Alligator mississippiensis: one gene and its partner. The protein of the gene in region 1 purifies or fractionates together with the protein of each later gene. This does not show direct contact. Links are inferred from orthologs where the notes say so. Each region holds a gene or a part of one and is shown in the gene's direction. Other genes may lie near its edges.

The links. The genes of interacting proteins can lie anywhere in the genome.
Region 2: the proteins of EPS15 (region 1) and GJA1 purify together in Homo sapiens (affinity purification with western blotting; 3 studies listed by BioGRID). This does not show direct contact. The link is inferred for Alligator mississippiensis from reciprocal best matches to the Homo sapiens genes EPS15 and GJA1.

The regions. Positions count from the first base shown.
Region 1 is NC_081828.1:8,526,196-8,533,878, reverse strand, and holds the start of EPS15 (epidermal growth factor receptor substrate 15), read left to right. Parts: upstream 1-4,627; 5' UTR 4,628-4,642; coding exon 4,643-4,690; intron 4,691-7,683. UniProt on the Homo sapiens protein: Involved in cell growth regulation. May be involved in the regulation of mitogenic signals and control of cell proliferation. Involved in the internalization of ligand-inducible receptors of the receptor tyrosine kinase (RTK) type, in particular EGFR.
Region 2 is NC_081824.1:105,797,146-105,804,917, forward strand, and holds the start of GJA1 (gap junction alpha-1 protein), read left to right. Parts: upstream 1-4,760; 5' UTR 4,761-5,000; intron 5,001-7,772. UniProt on the Homo sapiens protein: Gap junction protein that acts as a regulator of bladder capacity. A gap junction consists of a cluster of closely packed pairs of transmembrane channels, the connexons, through which materials of low MW diffuse from one cell to a neighboring cell.

The DNA.
Region 1 (7,683 bases):
TGTCATAGTGGTCATCTTATACAATTTCCTACCCAGATGCCTTTCTAAAATACATGCTGTAGTTCAGATGGCCATTATGAGTGGGAATGCCAAAATTAACATGTATTTCTGTAGCTTGTGTTATGTAAGAGGTCACACTAGCTGATCCTAATTGTTTCTTGTGGCCTTAAAATGTTAATGTTCACTTATAAAGCCTCCAGCTGCATAAAATATAGGCAGTTCATAAACCATTTCTCAAGATGTTTTATTAATGGGCAAAGATTGCTCATCAGCATTCATGACTGTTGATTTTGCCATCTAAAAGATGTATTATGATTCTCCTCCTCAGTTCCCAGGAAGGATTTCAGCATCTCAGCTATGTAAAATGTCATTGCCTCCCAGAAACAGAGTTGGTTCTTGGCTTTGTGAAGTTGTATGCGAAGATAACATCCTTCTCACCTGGAAGCATGTCTCCTAGCATCTCATCTCCACACACCTACAGTATACCCCTCACCCATCTTCTACCACTTTTTAGCTGTTATGGTTACCCCATTTGAGAACGGCCCTGATACCCACTCGCTATCTGGAAGGTTCAGAGATTGAGTCATAATACATCTTTCTAAGCAAAGGAAGACTAAGGCACACAGAATAGTTATTTTGCTGGTGAGAGGGGCTGTACATATATTACTTAGTTTTTTGAATGTTGTAATTGGGGCAGGTTTATGAAAACAGAAATTCTGACACTGATTTGGACTAGGTTCCCATCACCCTTATACTGAGTAGTTCTACTGATGTTAGATGCTTCTTAAGGGACACATGACTCAGTGTGATAAAATGCATGGTAATATTGCGTGGGAAAGAGTAATAAAGTTGCTGAAGAGCAATGATTACAGAATACTTGATCTTAACTATAATGTCATGAGTTAATTAATTAAACTGATTCTCTTTTACTCAAGTTCCTAATTTTGTCATTCATCTGTACTTAAGTATTTATAATAGTGTGTCTGTTGAGATGCTTTGTATTGGAGCAGAGCACGAAGGGGCTCACTTCCATAAAGCTGGTAAAGCTCATCACAAACAGGTAGGCAGGAGTCATGAGGAGTCAATACTTTTAAACGTGGCCTCTTGAATACTATGTAGTTTTAACAATGCTTTTCCTACAACCAGCAGGACCAGTCATACTAAACTACTAGGTGTAGCCTTGGAAAAAATAATGGGCTTCCTTTGTCTTCCTCCAAAATATAAACAAAGCTATCATAAAGTAAATTGAGCCTTGGTCTTTGCATAAACAAAACAATCAAGCTAAAGCTTAGCCATATGTAGTAATACTTGCTCGAAGACCCTTGACTATACTATTAAAGCCATTCCATAAATATGAGAGGTGTCTGAAAGAGGTTGGGGGTTTGGAAGCTAAATTCACGTTTGCATTAAGTCCCCTTTACCCTGTGTGTACATATGAAGTCAGGACAACTGTGCACTATCCACTAATAGCAGTAGAACAACGGGCATTTATTACACTAGCTGTACAACAAAGGAAATCTATTTATTATACAGAGAATTAATCTTGAATGAGAAAAGATACAGAATCAAACCATGATTAGATCTGCCTTCATGTAGTTTGTTGGCATTCTGACTCTGGCCACCTGCAGAGCCTGTAGTCTTTGGATCATCAATCAAGTCTCATGCTTCCCTTCCTGCAGCTTACTTCATAGCACACTGAAAAGATTACCGTGTTACTTGAACCTGAGGCTGCGCTGCCTTAGACTTTGTGTACACCTGAGCTGAGTCAGAAGAGGTAGAAAATGTTGCCAAACCAGAATGGTAGCATGTTTTTCCTACTTTGCACAGGTATAGATGACAGACTCTGCGCTGGGCTAAACACTGAGTAGAGATGAATTACTGGTTGGTGCTGCTAAGGAGGGAGAGACAGCAGGTAGTTCTAAATGACCTTTCAATCTCAGAAATTATTTTTGCTTTCATGCATGGGCGACTGGTGCCTCCTGAGTCAGGGGGGGCACTTGCCCCCCCCCCCCCCGACTGAACAGTCAGTGACTGGGGGGGAGGTGTCTCCCCATGGCCAATCCCACAGGCCAGGATCCTACTGTGGCCAATCCTGCTGACCGGGGGGAGGGTCCCCTCGTGTTGGCTGATCCTGCTGATCCGCAACTAGCAGCGATGCACCACTGGCATTTCTGGGGATGCTGCTGGCACTTCCGGGTCAGTGGGATCAGCCACAGGGGTACCATTTCTCCTGGCACACTTCCTGGCTGGTGCTCTCAGCGGGGGGCACCAGTGCTTTTGCCTGCTCCCCCCACCCAGGAACGCTGGCTGACAAGGGGTCAGCGCTGTCAGGGGGTTCATGTGCACTCCCATGCATCTTTTATGCGTTGCGTAAATTAGACCTGCTTCAGGATTGTTGAAGTTACGCCAGTGGCAGTGATCCCGTTGTGCTAGCAAAGCATTGGACAAAATCATGTGTTCCAGCCTCGCCCAAGCCATGCCTCAGGCTCTCTCTTTCCATCTGAGATACTCTGTGCCAGTTTTCTATCACTCAACGATTCCCTTTTGTTGGATGGAATTTATGGCTGTCCATTCAGGGCTGTTTTGGGCTGCTTTTTGCTGCACAAGTGAAAGAGCTGGACCAAGGACCAAGAATTAAAACCGAAGTGTAAATCATTAAAAAAATCAGGCCTCCCAACTCTTCCTTGAGGGGCTTCCAGACAAACACAAAACAGGCTCGGTATTGCAAGGTACAGCAGATGTGGATGTGTGTGGACTCTCTTGGTTCACTCTTCAGATGCTGATTTTTTAATAGCATTATTTTTTTAATCAAGGAAGGATAGAGAAATGACTTAGGGGGCTAGTAATTTATACTGTACTGTTAAGACTTTGTTCAAGTGGAATGGAGTACAAAAAGGTCAAGTATGAGGAAATATATTACAGGTAACCCTTGTCATTTGCTGGGGATATATTCTCGTATCCCCGTGAATGGCGAAATCTGTGAATAAGGCACCACGTTCATGAACGCTGTGGCCTCGGCAGCTGGGGAGGAGGGCCACGGCTCCGGCGGGAGCGCAGTGCCAGGAGCTTGGCGGCAGCAAGCATGGAGCTCCTGAAAGTGTATTTAAAACGCAGGTTTGGCATTCGTGAATATTTGAAGCGGTGAATGCCGAAGCCGTGAATATTGAGGGTTTCCTGTACTAGCTGACAGCGTTCAAAATTGTGAATAGTTGGTTACAACTACCCTGTTCACGTTCTGTATTCTTCCCTCTCTCAATAATGTCTTCTTTCTGCAGCTGTTCTGGCTGAAAGGCAAGTCAATAAAACCGACTTATCCTAGTCACAAGCTCTTAAAAAAAATACTTCAATTGCTACATTGCCACTTGTCCTGAAAGTGCATTTCAGATCTGTCATGCCGCTCAAGTACAGGATAATTAACCTGAAGCGATCCCATACAAACACCAGACTGGAAACCAGTAGTGTTCAAAAATACCATTAAATGACTCTGCGCTCTTTTAATTTCTGTTGCAAAAGTATTGCGGACGTGGGGCAAGCAGTCCGCGAAACACGAGCGAGGCAGAAGTGTCAGGGCCCAGTTCCTCTCTTTTAGACTAGGGGCAGACGTGACACATAAGTGAACTGAAACCGGTTTAAACCCGCAACAGAACAGACGTGCAGCACGCACAAACTGGTTTGAGATAAACCTGTTTGACCGTAGTATCAGACTTCACTGATTTAGGTCCAACCAGTTATGGGGTTCAGCAACCAATCCCCCATTGATACCGCTGTTCCCTACGGGAAAGTCGGTTCTGAGGTATGATGTTTGGACTTAAAACGCGGTTTCCAGGAACTGATGAGGGCGGCGGGTAAGGCAAGAGCACTCTGCCCAGGGGAAGGCGGTGCAAGCCCGGGGTGCGAGCAGCCCAATGAGGCCCCTGGAAGGAGGGCGCTAGAAACCAGCCCCGCGGCTCCGGGCGCGGCACGAGGACGGCGCAGCGCGAGCAGGGCCAGGAACGCGCGGGAACGGGACACGTGATGGAACGCGGGCGAGGCCGAGGACATCCGGGGGCGGGGCCAGGAAGCCGCCGAGGGCGGGGCTTGGGGCCGGGCCGGGAAGTCGTCGCGGGGCGGGATTTGGGGCGGGGCGGCCCGGCCGGGCGTGATGGAAACAGCATGGCCGCCCGCTTCTCCCTGACGCAGGTACCGGCCCCGCGCCCCTCTTGCCGCAGGCCCGGCCAGGCTCCCGCGCTCCCACAGCCCCGGGAAACACGCCTCGCTCGGGGCAGAGGTGGTCCCGGGCGCCAGCACCCTTCAGCCTCGGCCCCCGGGCTCGGGAAACGCCGCCATTCCCGCCCCCTGCCAAACTGCCGACCCCCAAGGGGCTCCTGCCCGCTCCCCTCATCTCCTTCAGCCCCGCTTCCCTCGCCGCAGGGCGGGTGAAGCCCCGGCCCCTCAGGGGGGCAAGGCTGAGCACCTTTGAAGCCTGGTCTGAAAAAGGATTGGTAAAGTAGATATCGCAGGAGAGAAACGCAAGGGGAGCGTTAGTTGTTGTCGAGAAGGGGGTTGCAAACGACATAAAAAGGGTCGTGACGCCCCGTTTCGAAATCCACGGTGCCTCCCCCCAGCCCCGACGCTCGAGGAGCCCTGGAGAAGGGCGGCGAGGATGCTCAGCAGCCATGGAGGGGCTTCCCTAGGAGGAGAAGCTAAAAAGGTCTGGCTTGTTCCCTTTAGAAAGGAGGCGTGTGGTCAGGGTTTAACGGCGAAAAAAAAGGACGTAGGGATTTTATTATTTGACCCCGTTTCTCTCTGGGTAGGAGAAAGAGGGGTCACAAAACTGAGACGAGTAGGCAGGAAACTTAAAACTAGCAAAAATCAGTTGTCTTTCACGCGGTGGATGGAAGTGTGTCGCTCCTTGGCTCCGGGTGTTGTGGAGGCTGACGGTGAAGCTGGGTCCAGAGAGGGATCCCACGCGTTCTTGGAGAAAAAGGGCATCGGTAGCTGTTGGGCTCGGGAGCGAGGCGCTCGGCCACTAAACTAGAGCGTCCTGGACTTTAAATGCTGGCGGCTGCAAGTGAGAGAGGAGCGGTGGGGGGGGGAAAACCCAGTCAGACCCTGTTCACTCTGCCTTTCAGCATCTGCTGCCTGTCTCTCTGACCCGTGAGACTTGGCAAGACGGACCTATAGGCTGACCAAGTAAAAGACAGCTCTTAAGTTCGAGGAACAAGCCTGTCTAGGTTTTTCTTTGCTCGTACGTGCCGTTGTGGGAGAGCTGCTCAGCTCAGTGCGGTCGCCCAGTGCGTGTCTCTTATAGAACAGCTTGTTTTTCTTTCCTAAAAGCAAAAGATAATGACAGCGGAGTTTGGATACTTGCAATTTATGTCCATTGAGAAGCTAAGAGACAGTGGCTTTAGGCTCTGGAGGTGTGCCGATACCAAGTAGAATTGCTCTCTCTCAATGATATTATAAGTGATAATTTGTGATATTTTTATGAATTCTTAAAATTTTTGTTATGTTTCAGTTGGTACAAATTGAGACAGAAGAGTTGTTGACAAAGTGAATTAAATATCTCAGATGTTAAAGAGGGGCTAATAAAAGAATAACCTGGTTTCTGGCATAGCTGAACTAAAAGGCCTTGTGCCTTCAGAGGAAAAAGGAGGAGAGTGTGTGCGCTGCATTATGAGATGCTGATTTTATACTGAGGAATTATGAGCACCTGTCCCTCAGTGCTGTTTCCCCCTTATGTCCCTCACCATTTTTGAATACTTACAGTCCCACATGTTTTTTTCCCTGCCATCAGCCTGGATGCCAAAGAGGTGATGGAGTGTTTCCTGCTAATTAGGCCTGGAAAGGCTCTCATATTTGCTCTGCCTGACCTGGAACTGGTCTGGCAAGGAGGCAGATGGGTCAGATGAAGGGAATGAATGGTCTTTTCAATAAATGGATAGCAAGTGCAGGCTGATTGGCCATCTGGACATCACTAAATGCTGTTTCTGGGCTTGGGAAACTAGCATGGGCTTCCTATATTGCTGTTCTGGGATGGTCAACAGTGGCAGCTGAACGTGCATATGGAAGCCAGCATTTCTCAAGCCATGTGCTGAGCTTGCTCTTGTCTTCCAGCGCTGACCCAACAGCTCTGCTGGTCCAAAAGTAGGTGGCAGTTGCACTGTGGCAGCTGATGACCCTACATTGTTACTGTTCTATGGGAAATCTGTTTGGCCCAGTCCAGATGTGCAGGCAGGTATGGTTTGTGGTGCTACAAATCTTTTTGCAGCACCACAAACTGCGTACCCAGCCCACTAAAACATGTTCCATGCTGCAAATTGGCACCGTGGGGGCAAAATTTGCTACTGGGAAATCCCAGTATCAAAAAAAAAAAAATTGCAAAAAAAGCAGCACGGTGGCTGCCACCGGAGTGTACTCTGGCAGATATGGAGCCTCGGTCCTCCCGGGAGACGCTCTGGCTGATTGTTAGAGTGTCGTCTCCTCTAGTTCCACCCTGGCTCCTCCAGGACACGGAGCCGGGAGGAGGCGTTTCCCTGAAGTGGGGCATTTTGCCCCGTACCAACATGAAATGACAAAAAGTAGTGGCACGTATTTGTGCTGCTACTTTTTTTTGCTGCTGCAAGAGCGTACCCCTGCATGTGGGGATGTGCCCCTTGAGGTGGGAGTCCATGGTTAGGGCTGTTATCATCCAAATGTGCAGAAGTATCATATGCATCCTCCTTGATGATGTGGAGGAAAAATACAGATCCTCACTTTGTGAGAGCCCTCTGATTGCAGCAAAGGGATAAGACACAGGACTCATTTGTATACACCCAGCCTCCAGGTAGGACCATAGAAAGTGGTGCTTTTCCATTGTGATGCAAGTCCTGTTAGATTACAGGGAATGGTTAACTGATATTAAAAACTGTGGGTCAGGAATGATGCCTGATGCACTCATTTGAACACATGGGTCTGTCCTAAAAGTTACGTCCAGGACTTTCCCTGACCACCACATCCAGGAAGCTTTGCCTATAGTCATAGGTGGATCTAGGATTTTAGAAAAGAGGGGTGCAGATGGTGTGGTGCATGGTAACATGTAACACAATACACACATTTATTTCTCCAGGTAAAAAGAAATTAGAAGCTTTACTAATATGCTAGGAGTCTAGGGCCATATTTCATAGATTTCATAGTCATTCGGGCTGGAAGGGACTCCAGAGGATCATTGAGTTCATCCCCTTGCCCCATGGGCAGGAAGTCAGCAGGGATCCTATGATCCCAGCAAGATAAGCATCCAAACGTGTCTTGAAGGTGTTCACAGTGGGCGCTCGAACTGCCTCTGGTGGCAGTCTATTCCAAACCTTGGGGGCTTGGACAGTAAAGAAGTTCTTCCTTATGTGTAGCTTGAATCGGTTGTGGCAGAGTTTGTGACCATTTGATCTTGTCATCCCTTGGGGTGCTCTGGTGAAGAGACGTTCCCCCAGATACTGGTGGTCACCCCTGATAAACTTATAGGTGGCCACCAGATCACCCCTGAGCCTGCACTTTTCTAGGTTGAAGAGTCCCATGGCTCTCAGCCTCCCATTGTAAGGTCTGTTTTCCTGACCTCTGATCATGCGCATGGCTCTCCTCTGGACTCCCTCAAGCTTCTCCACATCCTTTTTGAATTGCGGAGCCCAAAACTGGACGCAGTATTCCAGCTGCAGCCTCACCAAGGTCGAG
Region 2 (7,772 bases), on another chromosome or scaffold:
TGATTGCATTTTAGCTTGCCAAAACCAAACCCAAACAGGTTTCACAAACTTAGCATTTCTACACTGAGTATTGCCTCATGAGGTAATAACTCCTGTTTTACAGTACAGACTTCATCAAGTGGCACATCTGGTTTAAAGAGCTAAGCACAGACAGTCAAAAAGCCTGAGGCTGAATCAAGTCAATCTTCACAGGTTAGTATAAACTGCATAGATTGAACCAATAAGCAAGCAAACAGCCATTCACTTTTGATTCTGGAAAGGCAGCCACATGCCTGAATGGCCCAGGCCAGAAGCTGAGGGAAGGTAAAGCATGCCTCCTTACTTGGCTGGAGTAGAAAGCTTGGGCCAAGGCTAGCATGCCTATCCTGTGAGGGGGGAGTTGTGGGGGAGCTGCAAAGCATCCTGGGATGCTGGGGGACTGTGACTTAACTTGGATCTGGAGAGGATCTTTGAACAGAAGTTCAATAAACTGATTTAACATAAATCAGTTAAATCTAATACTACATCCATCTAGGTTTATCTTAAATCAGTTTTGGCCATTTTGAAAGTGGCTTATGTGCACTGAAATTCTGTTGTGTGACAGATTTGAACTAGTTTCCAATTGCTTATACCAATTTATGTATAATTTCTGTCCCTAGCCAAGGATCATTTCACTCACCTTTTAGTATTATAAATAGTCCAACTCTGATATCCTGCCACTTCCGGCTGAACTTAGTAGGGGGTTGCTGAATGGGAAGCTGTGTGAAAGAGTTCATTTAGTTTGAAATAGTTTGAAAGTGTTAATTAAATGCTATTCTTTATCTCCTCCCCGCTCCCCCTCATAATTTTGAAATGTTGAATAATAGCATAATTTGGAGCCAAATGTAACCTGGGACATTTGGCTGACAGACACAAATAACTATAAGCTTTAAAAGGACATTTTCAATAATATGAATAATGTTAGTAATAACAACCCTTCTTATTTCTTGAGGATTTCATGCTAATTGGGGCCCTGTGAGATACACAGAGGAAGTGGGCTGCTCTGAAGCTCCTTTAATCTTGCAGGTTCCTCTGTGCACCCCCACTGCTGATTGGTGGAGCAGCTCCATTTGCGGCTTGCTCCTGATTATTAGGGAAATGAAAACTGTGGTTTTAAACTTGGCACCATTTTTGTCTCTCTGGCGCTGATAGGCCGAGGGGCCCCAGTAGCTCAGCTGCTTGTTGCTCATCAGTGGGGAGGCAAAAATGGTGCCAAGTTTAAAACCACAGTTTTTGCTTCCCTGTAATCAGGAGTAAGCTGCAAGTGGGGACCTTCCACCAATCAGCAGCAGGAGGCACGTGGGGGAACCTACAAGATTAAAGGAACCACAGGGCAGCCCATGTTCACCATGAATCTGGTAGGGCCCTAATGATAATGGAACCAAACATTGTTTTCTTTCATATGAATAGTGTTGTAAAAATTCTACCTATTATGTTTATTATTATTGCCAAGTTGCTTTTTCTTTCATGGCTTCTGCATGTTTGTGTGTGTGCTCCATTGTAGGATTGAATACATGAAAACTGAGTTTCTGACACTAATTGTGTTTATTTCTGTGAGAAAGTACTTCTAAGTGTTTCTTTTGAGAATTAAATGCATTGAAAATTACACAGGCTTTGCTGACAGATACAGGTGGACTATCAGGTAGGTTAAATATATACTCAAGGATCCTGATGGCATTTCACAGAAGTTATAATACAATGCACAAACATGATAGATTGAAGAACCCTAAAGGAGGCCATGGCTTTCTTTCAGAATAAATCAGAGTGACAATGATTGCACCAATGAAATCATGCAGAGCACTTCAAATGTCCTCTCCCTTCTTGCTAGGTGCAGGGCCTGAAGCATCAACTAAGTATTCACCCTGTCACCTAATAGGAACCCTGAATCCATAATAAACTGAATAATTAAAGGTGTCTTCTATTTACTCCAGCCACTAGGTATACCACAGAGATAGAGGAAAAGAAAAAGAGCTGCAAGACTTGTAAATTATTATTTTTTTAAACTCTCAACCAAGGCCCAGGGTCCCATTATACCCCAAGCCCCACTTCCCTTCCCAGAAACTCTCCCCTGCCAAAGTTACAATTCCAAATAAAAATAAATCAGGTTAAGAAGAAGATCTAGAGACTGTCCTGACGAGCATGAACATGTGGTATGTGCCACTGCAGACCCATCTGTTGTGCCACACACTGCACATGCAGGCATAACCTGTGCTGCTACCTTGCAGTGCAGTGGGGCTTTTTGACCCCAAGAGATCCCAGGGTGGTGCACATGGGGTGGCACATGTGGCGGCACTGTGCACTGCCCCAAACTGGTGCTTGGCCAGCCCGATCCATGCTTTGGATGCTGGCCAGGCTTCCTGACATGGCTGCAGCCCCAGGAGGCCCCCAGAACCCTATGTAAGGCTGCTGGGGCCAGCAACTTCCATGCTCATCTGGATGCATCCAGAGAGTTCTAAAAATACAAGTCTCTTTCTGCCTTGTGTATTGGACTGCATTAATTACTTTAAAAGGTCCAAAACAACAAGAAAATATCAGAGGAAAACAGACAATTGAAAAATCAAGTGTATCAAGCTTTAGTTAGAGGAAGAAGATAGTTGAGGGGTACATAGGTGACCTGCATACTACCTTTTTCAAAAATGGAGGCATCATGGTGTGCTGCAGTGGACAATGAAGCATGAGGCAAAATTTTTGAGTTCCTCACTAAGCTGTGCCGCTAATCTGATGTGTGTCCCTGTACAAGTATTTTTGCCTTAGTTTCCATATATGTACAATGATGTTTCTCTTCCTCTATGAAGGACTTTGTGAGCTGTGGATGACAGGCACTGTTAAGGACTAAGTGAAAGAATAAGCTAACATCTATAACATTCACAGGTCTGAAAGGAACTTGCTAAGGGGAATATTACCCACTTCTTGAGAGAAATCCCTAAATGGCTTGTACTTAAATCTCTTCCTCTATGCACAGGTTCTGAGGTAAGACAGGATGGTGCTAACCACACATGAGTCTACAAATAGCCTTTCCTGAGAACGAGGACCCAAAAGACCTTCATAAAGCCAAGCTGTGGAGCATCAAAGTAGAATGGTCCCGAGGAGCTGTCCAACCACTGGGAGCTGCTGGAGCATCTGCTAAGCTATCCTAAGCAATGTCCAATGCACAGGACAATGGGGCACTGAAAGACAACACATAGAAAACTACAAAAATCAGGTCTTAAATGTGGTGTCCACAATGGTCTAGTCTACCAGGTTGTATTCAGAGTGTCACTTGCAAATCAAGGGAAGAGATTCTTTCGCTCTATTCAACACTGGCAAGGCCTCACTTGGAGTACTGTGTCCAGTCTGGGGTCCCACACTTCAAGAAGGATATGGACAGTTTTGAAAAAGTCCAGTGGAAGGCAACAGAAATAATCAGGGGTCTCAGGGGAGACAAGACTTATGAAGACAGGCTGAAAGAACTAGGGATATTGGACTGAAGAAAAGAAAACTGATGGAGGATTTAATAATGGTCTTCAAATACCTGAAAGATGATTGTAGGGAGGATGGAGATAGGCTTTTCTCTGTGGCTGTAGGGGACAGGGCTAGGAGCAACAGCCTGAAGCTGCAACAGGGAAAATTTAGGTTTGAGATTAGGAGGAACTGTCTGACGATGAGATTGGTCAGATGCTGGAACAGGCTTTTACCTAGAAAAGCTGTGGAACCTCCATCTTTGGAAACTTTCAAAAGCAGGTTAGACACTTGGCTGGAGTGGTGAAGACATGGATAAGCCTGCCTTGATCAGAGAGCTGGACTAGATTACCTTACGAGGTCTCTTTCAGCCTTGCTTTCCTATGACCCTTGTTAGACTTTTTCTCTGGGGAACTTCCATGCTTGGACAGGAAAAAGAAGAAAAATCATCCATGTTTCACCAAGAAAAAATTAGTGAAAGGAAGTTTTATCATGGTTAGATTGGGGCAAAGGCCAAGTTATCTTCTGTGCAGTTACAAGGTCAGATTTTCAAGTATACTGTAATTGAAATACTTCGACTGCTTAGTGCTACTCACTATTTTAGATCAATTGCCCTGCTTTGTCTTATACATTTAACTGAAGTTTCCTGCAAAGAGTTTCCTGAAATGCAGTTTGGCTCTTCTACTTAGATTCTTCCTCCCTCCCCCCCAAAATAATGATGGCTATCTTCTAAGTAAATGCTTGTGCTGAACAAACATCCTGTTACCACACATAAATACACTGTTACCTTCTGGTGTTCACCTTAAGGATACAAAAGGCAGTAAACTAAATAAACAAATTAAAAGCCGAGAGGACTTATTTATTTTGGAAGCCATGGTGTATCCCCTTCTAATGTAGTGAGTCCCATTCAGCATTCAGGGTAACGATGAGAACAAAGTAGTCTGTCCCCAAACTAGATTCTGGCAGATTGGCTGTGCTTATGCACTGGTTTTTCTATTTTCCCTTTCTTTTCTTGATGCCTGCATTCCTAAAGAGCGTCTTTGATTTTATACAATGGGCTAAGCTGCTCAGGTAACCCTGAGTCTCTTTCTGGATAAATTACCACTCAAGTGCCCTTAGTGTATGTTCAGGTTCCGTAAACAATGCCTTTCAATTGTTCATTATAACAGCAACAGTACACTTTGATGTACTCTGTCTCCTTTTTTTCCATACTGTTTTCTTCTGTGATTCCTCCTCCCCCTTTTCTCCTCCTGTTCCACTTAGCTGTCCCTCCTATGCTTGTCCCTCCTTCTCTCCTCCTCCTTTCAGTCAGTGGCTTGAAAACTTGTTAAAAGCTCTCCCAGTGTTCCAAGTTAGAAAAAAACTTTTTTACGAGGTATCAGCACTTTTCTTTCATTAGTGGGGAAGGAAGGATGAAAAATACAAACCAGCAGTAGACTTTTAAAGTTTAAATAGACAAGTCTGAGAGTCTGAACTTCTCTTCCATTTTACGTTTACCCTCCAAAGAGGCACTTGTTCGCCTGCTTCACTGCTGATCAGCAAGGGTAAGTTGGAAAGTTTTTAGGTTTTTTTTTAAAGTATACTTTTTTTCCAGGAACCTTATACTGCTTTTACTTATGTCTGGAGTATTTGCAACACAGTTGGAAAAAACTGTGCTAAGTGTTTCTAAAGTTACTCAGTTAAAAGTTCTGGGTAGTTTTTTGCTTTGTTACATTTACACTACTTTTAAATCATTTTTCTAAATATTTTTAATGATCATTTTTTAACCTAGTTCTATGGCAGGTTAACTGTGGCAATACTTCATCTTCAGAGCTGGATTTTGTGGTTGTTTACTTGATTTAAGCAAAAAAACCCATGCAATTATCTTATTAAAAAAAATAGCTTAAGAAAAAAGTAGAGGTGTGCTTCTGTGTATGGAAATCCTCCTGATCTTCTGAAAAAGCCTTACAAGTTTGTAACAGCAAATCCCTTGCATGAGTGTTTCCCATCTATCCCATACACTTTTTTGCTTTCATATGTAAATTTTGATTGATGTTTAATAGTTTGTGCAAAACATGGTTCTTAATTAGGTGCTTTGTTAAAATACTGCTGCTACTAATCCAGTGACTTTCACGTGGCTGTGCTGATCCCCCCCTCTCCTCCCCCCGCCCCCCCACCTACTTCTTTAAAATAGATGTGATAAAATCCAGACATGTGCTAAGGATTTTTAAGCCAGTTTGTATATAGTTACTCTGTATTAGCAACTCCAGTTAAGGATTGTAGAGGAGCCATGTAGCACATAGGCATATGTCTCACCATGCTGGCATTGCCTGTGAAGTTATTGAGTGGGTGGGTGTTAGCAGATGTTCTCTAGGGAGGACTCTCAGTGAGTAGTTACAGCATATATCACAAGTTAAATTGTCTATACTTTGCCCTGAAACCTATAAGATAGCACTGGAAAGGAATTCCTGAGCAGCATCTTCTAGAGAACTGACTTTTGTCTGAAGACACTGGAGTGATTAATTCCTTATTGGTATTGCTGCCTGGATGCCTGCCAGTAATCAAAGAGAAAAACTTTGAGGATGGAGATGGAGAGGGGAAGAAGTTTCACTTGGAGTGAGAACCACATCACAAGTGTACTTTGTTGGAGTAACACATGTGATGGTAATCTAAAATGTTTTGTGCCCAACTGGCATTTCTCCTTCTGCTGTCCTAATATAACAGTAAAGTCAGAACATTTTCCTAAGAGAATGTTCTTTTAGATTGTTCTAAGTGTGTTTAATTAAAATCAACCAAAACAACAACACAGGTCAACTTGCAGCTTTGATTTTTCTGTGTGTGTATGTGAGTGTGTGTGTGTTGGAAGAGCTGGGGCTTGCCTGGATCTTTCACCCTGCCATCTTAACATCTGGACAGCACACTGCACTACATAATTTACAAAGTCTCCAGACTTTGAAATGTTTACTGAAGTGTTTCCCTCAAAAGCCCTCAAAGCTAAACAGTGGCACTGATCTGTGATATCTAACAGGCATACCAATGGGAGAATGATGAGCAACAGGCTGAGTTCAAAAGGGGAAAGGGAAGGATGCAATGGATTTGATTTGTAGCAAATATGCGCATACACACAAACACATACATATATGCACCTCTGAGTGTAAAGGTCTCCCCAGTCTCAGTTAAAACTAGCCTGAAAGATAAGCTGTGCCTGAAACTGAAATTAAACAAGGGTCAGTTTATGTAAACATACTGTTGTGGATTTAAGGAAGTCTCTGCCCAGCTAGTGTTTCTTGTGAAAGAAGTAATGTTGCTAGCCCCTTTCCCTAGCCTACTCCATAAGTTTAGTGTGGTAACTTAGTGTGGTAGCTTAGCATGGTAGATTCATGTTTCTATTGCTTTTATTTTGTGGGCTTCTATATTTTGAAACATATGAACTTGGAATTCCTCACAAATATAAGTAGGCATCACTTCTATTGATTCATCCACTTAAAACATGGATGATTTGGGCCAGAAGAGTAAAAAGTTTTATCAACTGTCTACCTGACTTGTACAAGTGGAATTTTTAAGCAAACTCTTGTGGTCTTGTATTTAGTTGTCTTGGACAGATTCATAGAGTTAGACGAGGCAGGGGGAGAATGCGTCAGAGGAAGAGGAGGTAGTAAAAAGTTCCATCAGTGGATGATCACCAGTGAGTACCATAAGCCTGTAAAAGAAAACAAAAATAGCAGCTGTGAGGGTTAAATTCTCATCACTATGCAACCATCAGGGGTACCCTCCCTGTCCTCTGGAGGAAATTTACTACCAACTAAATGCATTTGCAGAATTCCAAATGGGCTGTACCTTTCCAGGGGAATGTAAGAATAACATTTCACTGACATTTGTAAGATTTGATATGTTTAACGTTCCTGGTCCACAGCCACTCAAGTCCCATGTCTTAGGCACCTCAGCTGCTTTCCCTGAGACTTTGGCTACGCTTGGGAAATTATTTCTAGGTACATTTTAAGCACAGGCTTTTGTTGGCATTTATGGGAGAACCAAAGCTCTTGGCCCACTTCCTAAGTGCTCTTTCAGCTGCACAGACCCACACACTTACCACACACCAGCCCTGATGCCTCTTCCGATCATTACCATGTGACCTACTGACACTGCAGTCAGACCTGGGCACTTAACCACAGTACTGAGCCTGCACTATATCTCCTGGAAAATCTGAACCATATGACATGATGAATGCCTTCCATAAAAAAACAGTTCTAGAATTTCTAAATTGTGGCTTCTAGATCAAATTTCTTTTATATGTGGTCATCCAAGACTCAGGCAGATGAATGCTGTCATTTTTCCTT